Linked DNA regions of Cricetulus griseus. The main gene of each other region encodes a partner of the protein of the gene in region 2 in a complex. Links are inferred from orthologs where the notes say so. Each region holds a gene or a part of one and is shown on either strand. Other genes may lie near its edges.

Region 1 (3,680 bases), on a different chromosome or scaffold from region 2:
CTAACCCCCTGCCATCACAGTAGCAGATGGTGAATCTGACGCCAAAATATAAGTCCGCCAGAGGAAGGAAAGCCTAAATCAGCAGGATTAAGGAAAAACAAGGCAAAGATACTCGACCTCCCTACCCGAGAAAAGCATGAAAAACCAGAGCAGATTGGCATTAAATGACAGCTTTTTCTGAGATTCACAATAGAAGACTATAACTGAATTAAATGGCAAAGTTATGAATACAGTGTGTGTGTTTGCGCGTGCGTGTGTGTGTGAGTGTGTCCCCAGGTTCACCTGTATTTTAAGTCTTTCAAGGATCCCATTCAGTAGTAACTCGAATTTCATCCAGAGTAAATAGGGAGCGATCCCTCTGTGGCTGTGCTTGGTCACCACACTCTCGAGAAGGCAGCCACAATCGTTCTGCACAGTCTGAGGCGGAACTGCCGGCAGGACTGCCTACTTCCCCACAGCCTGGAGGCCGCCGCTGGAAAAGCTCGCACAGGCTAGGAGGACAGCGCCTCCAATCGTTCCTCCCTCCTCCACTCCACCAACACCTGGCCCTGCTCCTCTCCTCCCTGGACATGTGCGAGCTGCAATGTCTTGCCACTGGCGCAGGAGGTACAGGATGCTGCACTTGGAGCTAGAGATTCCTGAGCCAGCGAGCCAGAGCCAGTGTCCACACATGCCCTCACAGCAGCTTCTGTCCGCCACTTGAGATCACATTAGCATCCCGAATTCGACAGTCCCAATCCCGGCCCCCCAGGCCTTCTCCATCTGCTTGAGATCCTAGTACAGCAAGTGCAGCGGGCCAGAGAAGGTGCTGTTCTCCAGTGGACAGGCAATCTAGCTCCTAGTCACATCCCAGTTATTCGCTCAATTAGCTCGGGGTCAGACTGAACGCTCTGAGCCCTCGTCTGGTGGTTCCAGCAGTCTTTAGCTGTCACAGAAACTTTCCAGAAGCGCTGGGTACGGGGCCCTGCACTGTAAAGGGGAGGAGGCGCTGGGAAAGGGGCGGCGAGCGAGCGGGAAAAATGTCGGGGTCCGGTTTCCGTTCCTGACACACGCACGATCCGGACAGCAGACTGACTGCTCAGGATCCTGGTCTATACCGTCTCCCTCCGTGGGGAGCTGAGAAAAACGAAGCGATGGGTAAAAGTGACACTGCCCACCCAGTAGGGTCACTAACAGGGAACTGCCCAGCTTGCTTCGGGCGCCCCACAGCTCCAGAGATAGAGCTCCAGGACACAACAAGCAGACAGGACACCCAACAATCTGCAGCCCGGCAGAGCTTTCATCAGAGTGGCAAGCCCAGTGCTATTTCTTGCCAGGTCTCCCCACCCTTCTCTCTCCCGGGGTACATCTTTTCTCGAGAGGGACAGCACAGGTCTTGGAGGAAGGCGCAGCAGGGGCCAGCCTTAGCGTGGATAGCTCAGTGCTTGAGAGAGACGCAGCTGCGACAAATGGTGCCCTGTTCGCTCGGGTGGGAGCTGAGGCAGGGGACAGGACCTAGGGCGGGGGCGCCGCGCCATACCAAGACACCGCTCCTAGGCACTTACTCCAGCTAACAAAGCCAGGAACCTCTCTCTGGTGCCAGCGGCGACTGAAGAGTGGATCCCACCAAGAGAGAGGGCGCGCAGATGCTCAGGGCCATTACAAGTTTCACGCACTCCACGGAGCCCAGCCCAGACCCCACACTGATAACAAAAGATCCTCATCTCTTCTCCACCGTCCCCGCACAACCATTTCTCCCACACCAGAACCAAAACCTGTGGCTGGACACAAACAGCTTTGTACTCCCCAAGCCTCTCCGGCCCTCGAGGGCAGGACCCCTTCCCTTCCCCAGCATTCGACACCAGGACCCGGCGCTTTTGAAAATCCCACCCTCCAGGGCCACTCTCCTCCCTACTGGCCCAAGAGTGAGCTCTTAGCCTCGGGTCATACACACACACACACACACACACACACACACACACACACACACACACACACACCGCTGGGCAGGACAGCCATCCGTTTGGTCTAGGTCCGGGGCGGCGCCGGTCTTGTGTGCGATCGGGTGGGGAAGCTCCTGACATGGAGCCCGGAGTCTCTGGGGCTCAGGACTGAAAAGAGCTGCAGGCAGGGCTTGGGGCTACTCCCCCAGGAAGGGACAACGTTCGGGAGACAGAGACATAAGACCAAATACAACACAGGCTCTACAAAGCCCACAACGCGCACCTGGGGTAACCCCAGGACCCTCGCCCTAGCCCGGATCCAGGAGGTGGGGCGCTCAGGGACGCTAGGGCCATACCTTTTCGGTGCATCGACGGGCAGGCGGCCGCGGCTCGGAGCGGACTGGCACGGCGTGTATCCCATTTAGTAATCCATTATCGAGAAGATCTCTCTGGGCCTTGAGCTGCGCTCTTTCCTTCGCAAGCCTTTGTCATTCCTACATGTGTGCTTGTCTCTTTGGGGGCAACAGTCACGGCGATTACTTTCTAGGATGCAAGCGAGCTGTGTTCATCTCCAATGGCAGAAGAGGACGGGAGGGGAAGGCAAAAAAAAAAAAATTGAAAAAGGGAAAAGAAAAGAAAAAGGAAAAAAAAAACAGAGGAAGAAAAGCCAGCGAGAACCAGGGCAAATGTTCAAGAAACTCTTTTCCAAATCCGAATTCCACTTGGATTCACTTCTGAGCCCCCTCAGCGGTGCCAGCGCCCATTAACTAGTCATTTCAGGGCGGGGGGCGGGGTGGGGGTTGAGGAAGAGGTGCAGGGTTCTGGCCGGCTCTGCAACCCCGAGCTCAGTGTCCCGGGTGTGGCGACGCTGGCCGCGGCCGCACGCTCCTAGGCGGGCATCTCGGGCAGTCGGCACCGCGGAGAAGCGCCTGTGCTGCGTCCCGAGCGCCTAGGCAGCCGAGTGCGTGGGGAGCGGAGTTGGCTGCAGCCTCACCCCGTGCGGCTCACTACTCCAGTGTCACCGGAGAGGCCGACGCTCCGGGCGGAGCCAAGTCCCGGACTGGATTACACAGAGAGGACTCTCCTCCAGCAACCCCGCCTCCCTGGGCTGGCGTCTCCGACCCGAAGGAGAGCTGTGGTGTGTGTGCGAGAGGGAGGGAGAGGGATGGAGACAGTGCGAATAAGCCAAAGGAAAGGGAGACTTGACGCCGCGTGGCTGCAGGTAGAGCTTTGGACTGAGTCGCCAGCACCGCTTCTAACCACCTCAATTCTCCGCCCCGGGGCGCGCACCAAGGAGGTCCCGGCAGGGGCGACTCCAGGAGAAGCCCAGCCCTCAGCCCTCGTCTCCCCACCCCCACAACTGCTCTAGCAAGAGAAGGGGGAAAAAAGAGGGTGGGGGGAGAGAAGAAAAAGAAAAGAAAGCCCAGACAGCATTGCTGAGCCCTGCCAAATCAGAAAAATAAATAAAAATAGACAGTGAGGAGCGAGTTACAAGAAAGAGTTTGTCCATCGATTTTCTTAAATGGAAAAGTTTTAAAGGGACGGCGAACCTTTCTATTTCTGATTACTGTATCAGGAGGTAGATTCTGGAAGTGATGGACCTTCTTCCTGCCCGGATGAATTGGATACAAGACTGTGTGGCTAAAATTAGTTTCTCGCACGCACTCGTTTATAGCACACGTTAAATAAACATATAAACTACGGTGCTGAGAACGTGGTTAACGACCGCGATCGGCTTGAAAACGTCTTAGTTTCAAA
Region 2 (3,648 bases):
GGAAGCTAGGCACAGAGGCAGCAGGTTAGAGGGCTGTGAGAAGAAAAGGGTTCTAGGCTGATGCTGTAGGTTACTTCCTATAGTATTTTAAGGCTCTCCCAAAGACACAGTCCCCAACTGGGGGTTGGGGAGGTGCAGTAAAAGTTTGAAGAGGTGGAACCTGGGGAAGATCTCAGGGGTTGGGGGTGTGCTTTAAGGGGATCATGGGACTCTGGATCTCCATCTTTACTTGGCTATGTACTTTAACCACTATGCAGCCTCAGCATAGGCCTACTAGCAACAGAACTGACTAATCGTACACAGAAAATTTCCAAGCTGAGACAAAATAACTGTTAAAAAATTGTGTGTGTGTGTGTGTGTGTGTGTGTGTGTGTGTGTGTGTGTGTGTGTGTGTGCGCGCGCGCGCAGGTGAACAGATATGTGACATCTTCAGAGACACTGTCCACTTCCTTTGAGACAGGGTTTCATTAGCTGGAGACCCTCCCGTTTCTGCTTTCTGAGCTGGAATTATAAGCACACACCACATGCCTGCCATATTTTTATGTGGGCTACAGGAATCATTATCAGGTCTTCATGCATGTGACTGAGCTGTCTCCCAGCCTGCCTCTTTTCTTTTTACTAAGTGATTACCTCCTAGGATTTGTGATAGCACATGGAATCTGGGTTAGGGTTAGGGTTAGGGTCTTCTATGCTTATCTGTAATTTTTTTTTTTACTTCTACCTTTGTAGAGGTGGCTAAAATATAGAGAAGAGAACATCATGATTTAGGCCCTTTGTAGGTGTCAGAGGCAAGAGGAGAACTGCTGGAGTTCAGCAAAGGTCAGAATAAGCAAACTGATCCTTTTCCCCTGGCAAGAAGATGACTGAGAAGTAAAAACCCTGAAGAGCCTTGGCTATCAAATGCTCATCCCACAGTCCAGGCAGTGAAGGGCTCCCAAGTGTCTCCCTGGCTTCCCAGGTTGGGCAATTCCTCTCCCCAGGCCTATATCCCACATGCCCCGCCCCCATGCACCTGTGGCCATGCCCAAACAAACATGGTCAGTGCCCCAGGTACCTAGTAAGATCTCTCCCTAACAGGAAGGTTCTGAGCCAACTCTTCCAGTACAATTTTTCCCCATTGTCCAACAGTTGCTTGCTAGTGAAAAGCCACATGCAGCAAAAGAAAAAAAAAATGTTTTGATTCCTAATTGAGATGTTTACCCAGACAGCCTGCCAGGTCCTCAGCCCGAAAGAATGCCAGGTATACTTGTCACTCTGTGGATGTGTCTGCGTGGGAGATGAGAGAAAACACAATCTCCACTCCTACACATATTCATACCCAAGGCTGCCAGCAAGCATGGCCTTTGGAACATTTAGTCTACAATAGTGATAGAAAACAAATCCTTGGAGATGATGGGCCAGGACAGAGGTGGGGCTCTCCTACTTTCCCTGCTGTGGCTTCCATATAGTGTAAAGGTATCTCTGTGAATATTAGCAAAGGGATAGACACTGGCAAATAAAGAATCTGGTCTGAGACAGTAAGGCCTGGCAAACTCGACTGTGATGGCACAGTAGTCCTGAGGGGGTGGGGCAGGTTGAATTGGGGTAGAGTGGGGACAGTGAATGATGTCAATGGACCCGTTTCCTCACTCGTGAGTCTCCCCCTAGGTCTGCTCTAACCCTGGGGACAGGGGAAGCTCCTGGGAAAGAATAGAATATAAAGGCTTGTGGGGAAAGGATCGGAATAAAGTCAGGAGGGTATTGAGATTAGTGAAAAAGGAAGTGAGGATATACTTGTACTCACCTTCCTTGCACTCCAGTGCTACCCTGGACTCCAGGTTGTCCATCTGCATTTGGAGCCGCTTGAGTGTGAGGTCATTTTCCCTAGACTTTCGTTTATAAGCGATGAGGACAATGATGACGATGATAAGGAGGAGGCTTCCACCAGCTGCAATGCTGATGATGGCTGGCAGGGTCAGCAAGCTGTCGGAGATGACACTCACCGAGCCAGGTGAGAACACCATCCCGCCCACGTGAACCTGTGCATTGTACATACAGACACATATACAGTGCACACAGGTGTAAAGCCCCAGCATGCTGTCATTATTCTACAGTATTACAGTGTGAAGAATGACAGGATAGACTCTAACATTACAGTTCATATTTGGATACTACACAGTTTCTACCTTGGCATCTGTCTTGCTATTTATGTGTTCCCAACTGCTATCTTTTTTGGTGTAGGACATGGAGATGAGGAAATATGGAGGTCATGAGTCAGGTAATGAGATGAAATGGAATCTTTCATCATGTTTGTATGTTAAGGCTGAGCAGAGGAAGGAGACAGAAGATGGTTCACTTACCATGACCTTGTGTTGTCCGGTGAGGTTGGGAGGTTCACAGAGTAGCTGTGTCTCAGATACTGTGACTGCACAAGGCGTCTCTCCAATCATTACTGTGTAGTTGAGTTTGGCCCCTCCAGAGGCAGGAGGGCAGAGATTTTTGCCCTGTAGAGAACAGGTGTCTTAATGAGAAGAATTGGCATAGGCAAGCAGAAATTAATTGCCTACTTAAAGAGATATAAAGGAGACAGGGTGGGGCAGCAAAGCAAAAACCAATAAATGCCTCCATGCTAGGTTTTTAAAGGATACTTCAACCAGCCACAGATTAGAGGAGACCAAACAAACAAACAAAAACAACAACAACAAAAAAGCAAAGAAAAGTGAAAAATGCAGTGGGGGATGTTTGGGGAAGGAGGAAAGGAAGAGGAGAAACAAAACTGGACAAATAAAGATGGAAGGAGGTCACATGGGATTTAAGGGTGGGGTGCAACAAAACTGGATGCTACCACCTGGAGATTTGGCCTCCTAAATCGGGAAGGGCCTACAGCACTCTCTCCCTACTATCCAGGCCCCTCCTCTCCATTGGTGTTCTTACCTTCAGGATGATGGGTGAGCCTGGCTTCTGATCCAAGATCCCAGTGGGGCTGAGCAGTTCAAAAGTTGGGTTGGGGTAGTAGATGAACTTGGTGTCATTATAGATGAGTAGGGACTGGACATTGTTAAAGAGAAATCCAAACTCATCTGGCCGTTCCACCGTGTCCAGGCCTGGACGGTAGTCACTGGTCAGAGAAGGTGCCAGACAGGTGAGGGTGGTTGTGTTTACCACTGTACACACCTAGGAGGCAGAAAGCATCATTCTGAGCACCAGGTGGGTGAAGGTGGGTCTCTCATCTCCTCTTACCCTCTGTTTGCTCGACTTCCTTCACTAGATGTGAGTCCTTCCAGACCAATGTGGTGAGGATGCCTTTAACCCCACTCATTTATTCATTAACACTGCGGTGAGCACCTGTTTTCTGGCAGACACTGGGCTGAGAGTCTGGTGCACAGAATGAAGTAGTCTCGAGGGACAGCTCTGGATTAATTAAACAAGCATTATAAGCTAGTCCACAGAGAGCCTGAAGCAGCATAGGGCACAATACTGTGAAATGCATGAATGGGAAGGACCAGATGTTCTGGAAAGTCTGTGAGTTTGCATGGCCTGAAGCAGCATTCATGAAGGATTTCCCTCAGTAGTAGTGAATGCTTTCATTTGAAGAATGGGAGGCTTACCTCAGCCAGAAAGGGGCAGTGCAGGAACAGTTTCAGGAAGAGAGGATAGCAATGAAAAGAT
Region 3 (3,648 bases), on a different chromosome or scaffold from region 2:
AAAAGCAGGAGCAACAGAATCACTAATGAAGATGCATATATGAGGATTCCATACGTGTCCATGAATACAAGCCAGCAGATGCCCTCAATTAGCTACACAGAACATGTGTATTTTGCATGCTCTACTCCAATCAACCCAAAAAGCCAATACTTGCAGGCAAATATCTCAAACAAGCCCTACAGACAGAATTCCTATATTCTATCAATGACATAGAACTGTGGCAGAATAGGAGTGAACGTGTAGTCGTTGCGGAGGGGGGCATCTTATCTTCTTCTATTTGTGATGGAAGTGAGGCATCTACTCAGACTTGGAAAAAGCAGTGAAAAGGACTTGAGAAGAAAAGAGTGTTTTCTGGGGGCCACCTGAGTGAGGCCAGCTCTGCTACTCTCTCTGTGTGAGTATGATCATTTTCATGGATTGATTTGTGTTCAGGGCTCTTTCCTGTGTTTGATATCGCACCCATTTTTATTTGACAGCCTTGCTAGAGGCCAGCCCAGCTGTGCCCAGCCTTGTTCCACCTACCTGGATCCACTCCCGATAGGAGTCCTGTCCGGGAGTCCACCCATTTTCAGGGTAGTTTAGGCGGGAGCGCTCTACAGACCAGTTGGTGCCATACTGTGAGGATGCTGTGATCTGGTCGGAATGGATTTCTCCAGATTCCATGCCCAGAGCCTCCATACACTTGAAATCTGCAGACAAATTATAAAGGGCCAAAAACATAGTTTAAATTTAATGTGGCAAACTAAGGAGTTCACAAATGGCCTGGGGAGATGATTCAGTGTTAGGACCTGCATTTGGTCCTTACCACCCAAGTAAATGGAAGCTGGGCCTGGAATATCAACACTGCCAGTCAGATCCCTGGGGCTTGCTGGGTAGCCAGTCTGCCCAATTCATAGTCCAGATTCATTGGGAGATTCTGTCTCAACACATACGGTGGACAGTGACTGAGGAAGACACACAGCTTGATGTCAAATTCAGGCCTACACACACACACACACACACACACACACACACACACACACACACACACACACACACACACGATAGACGAGAGAGAGGAGAGAGAGAGAGAAACAGAGTTCATTAACAAAACCTGGCAAAATATGCAACATGGGATTACTGGAACATGTCACCTATAATTATGTTTTCCTGAATATGGATCTTTAAAAGTAAGACTATGAATGTCAGCACAGTTATTCTTAATACTCCCATGTGGGCTAAGGTTGACAAAATGCTCTCTGAGGTAGGGATGCGGTTTGGTGATGGAGTGCCTGTGCAGCATGAATGGAGCCACATAGGTGGCATGCCAGCACTTCGTCATTTGAAGTGGTGGGGCATACCACCTGTAATCCCAGCATCCTGAACTTCTGACCTTCAGAAGTTCATTGCTATCCTTACACACTGAGTTGGAAGCCAGAGATCATGTGTCAAAATAAAACTAATTAAAAATTAAAAAGAAGGGAAAAGAAAAAATCTTTTCCCTTAAGTTGAAAATCTCATGTCTGTTATATCAATGGAAAGCTGACCAGTATGTCCAGCAATAGAAATTTCACATTTTTCTAAAATTTGCGTCCTAACAGATAAGTTTTTGACTAGCCAAATAAGTTAAGTGTAAACACATTTTGGATTTCATTCTCCTTTTCATTTCCCAGTCAGATATGGGGCAGAAAACAACAGCAGCTTGGCTATGCAGGTCAGCAAAAGCAATGAGACACAGGTTTTTTTTCCACCTGGCCTTCAAAAGAACCCCTAGCCACATGAACTTTAGTCAGTGATTTTTCTTTTCATTTCATTCCTCTGTTGTGCAGAGGGGTTGCAATGCTGGAACTTGAATCTAGGGACTCCTGCTTTGCAGGCAAGTATTCTACCACTGAGCTATTTACCATGCCCTGAGCGTTTTAATAAAGTCTTTAAAAATACATTACTCTTTTTATTGGAAAGGTATGTAAGACAAATTGAAATATTCTCCTTTTACAGATTAGGTCAGCAGGTTTAATGCTTACCTAGCAGGTACCAAGTCCTAGGTTTAACCCTAATATTTTGTGTCCAGGTCACCTGTAATCCCAGCACTTGGGAGTTAGAGGCAGGAGGCTCAGGAGTTAAAGGTCATCCTTGGCTATACAGTGAGTTTTAGGCCAACCTGGTATACGTGAGAATCTGTTCTCAAAAAAAAAAAATTATAGTTGGTGAGATGGCTCAGCAGGTAACAGCCTTTGTCACCAGAATCCACTTGGTGAAAGGAGAGAACTGATGCCTGTCTGTCTGTCTGTCTGTCTGTCTGTCTGTCTCAAACACACGCATATACATATAATAAATTAATTGACTTAAAATGTAAAAGAATAAAAACATTCTTTTACACATCCTACTTTAAAAAAAAAAAAACTTTGTAAGAAAATGGTAATGAGACCCCAGGGTCACCTACAGCCAACAACCCTCTGTGTATCAGCTACCCCCAGCTGGTTCTGCCTGGAACTGTGCTTTGTGGTTCCTGACACCTGTGCCTTTGAGGTGCCAGGGAAGCTTCCCAGTCACCCCTCATTGTTTCCATGTAGTGTTCAGTCATTTTCCGCTTCCCTAACTGCAGAGGTTCACAGATAATTTTATGGAGGAAATACACCAAATGACATTTTTCCAATTGACACTCACACACAGAAAGTTTTTTTTTTTTATTCCAGAGAAAGATAAACAGTGGGCACCACAGTTCACAGAACATTTCTTTAGTGCTTTGTGTGGCCTCAGGTGTATGAGAAATAATGGGCAGTGTTTACTATAGGGCTTTGTGAGATGAATACATACTGACCTTCAGAGACGCTGCTCTGCAACACACTGTAGTTGGCTGAGAAACCTTCCTTTGCTATGGCGCTGTCGGTGTAAAAGACCATGGATAGAATGCCGGAAGATGAGCGGATCCGACCAGGTGTTTTCTGCCCACAGTAGCGCCCAATGTGAGGGCCAACTGGAAAAGCAGAAATACAGAGAATATCAGACTGTCCTTTCTTCTACAGAAGATACAAAAATAACCATTTATAAGCATGAGTCTCAGAAGACCTCAGAAGAACACAAAGACTGTTGTAGCCTAATACAAATCTCTCCTGGCTAATGGGTGAATAGAGCTCATACTGGAGGACTGGAGAGGATTTGGAAAGATGCTCAGCCAGGCGTTCACAGGCACAATCATAGCACCCCCCCCCCCCCAGCCAGCCTGGTTCGTCTCAGGAATGGAACACATTGGGGAGATGGCTCAATGCCACAAAGACCAGAGTTCAAATCCCCAGTGTCTACACACAAAACAGGGAGGGTGTAGTATGGTAGCCCAGCTGTAAGCCCAAAGGTCAGTAGGCAGAGGCAGAGATCCCAAGCACAAGTTGGTGAGTGATCTCTGTATTCCATGAGAGATTGCAAACAGAGACAAGTTTGCAATAGAGGAAGACATTCAGTGTCAACCTCTGATCTCCACATGTACCTGTGGACCCATAAACACACAGTCACTCACACACATGAGAACACATGTTATACATACACACACAGAACATATGCACATACATGTAAAATCAAAATGAAACAAAAGCAAAGTGGATGACTAGTAAGAAATGATACACACAGGTACATATACACATACACCAGAGCGAGGGGTGGGGGATGGGAGTG

The links.
Region 1: the proteins of Plxna2 (region 2) and Sema6a are in contact, whole or in part, in a crystal structure (PDB 3AL8), measured with the Mus musculus proteins. The link is inferred for Cricetulus griseus from reciprocal best matches to the Homo sapiens genes PLXNA2 and SEMA6A. Residues at the interface, in NP_032908.2 of Mus musculus: Ala93, Cys94, Tyr95, Pro96, Lys155, Gln192, Asp193, Tyr194, Asp220, Phe221, Val222, Pro229, Ser230, Asp231, Leu386, Lys389, Val391, Thr394, Lys395, Ala396, Pro397, Val398, Leu407, Asp408, Ile409, Asn410, Gln411; in NP_061214.2 of Mus musculus: Arg108, Met109, Lys110, Gly111, Met162, Ala163, Thr188, Phe190, Leu191, Ile193, Tyr198, Thr206, Arg208, His212, Asp213, Ser214, Glu219, Gln266, Arg267, Glu270, Lys271, Lys393.
Region 3: the proteins of Plxna2 (region 2) and Nrp1 are in contact, whole or in part, in a crystal structure (PDB 4GZA), measured with the Mus musculus proteins. The link is inferred for Cricetulus griseus from reciprocal best matches to the Homo sapiens genes PLXNA2 and NRP1. Residues at the interface, in NP_032908.2 of Mus musculus: Asp273, Leu274, Phe275, Glu306, Lys341, Gly342, Gln343, Lys344, Gln345, His348, Pro350; in NP_032763.2 of Mus musculus: Glu78, Arg80, Asp81, Lys83, Tyr84, Asp126, Tyr127, Glu128, Thr129.

What each region holds. Positions count from the first base shown.
Region 1 is NC_048595.1:190,732,552-190,736,231, reverse strand, and holds the start of Sema6a (semaphorin-6A), read right to left. Parts: upstream 2,918-3,680; 5' UTR 2,279-2,917; intron 1-2,278. UniProt on the Homo sapiens protein: Cell surface receptor for PLXNA2 that plays an important role in cell-cell signaling. Required for normal granule cell migration in the developing cerebellum.
Region 2 is NC_048598.1:479,884-483,531, forward strand, and holds part of Plxna2 (plexin-A2), read right to left. Parts: intron 3,154-3,648; coding exon 2,914-3,153; intron 2,484-2,913; coding exon 2,340-2,483; intron 2,019-2,339; coding exon 1,784-2,018; intron 1-1,783. UniProt on the Homo sapiens protein: Coreceptor for SEMA3A and SEMA6A. Necessary for signaling by SEMA6A and class 3 semaphorins and subsequent remodeling of the cytoskeleton. Plays a role in axon guidance, invasive growth and cell migration.
Region 3 is NC_048596.1:205,238,292-205,241,939, reverse strand, and holds part of Nrp1 (neuropilin-1), read right to left. Parts: intron 2,957-3,648; coding exon 2,801-2,956; intron 690-2,800; coding exon 523-689; intron 1-522. UniProt on the Homo sapiens protein: Cell-surface receptor involved in the development of the cardiovascular system, in angiogenesis, in the formation of certain neuronal circuits and in organogenesis outside the nervous system. Mediates the chemorepulsant activity of semaphorins.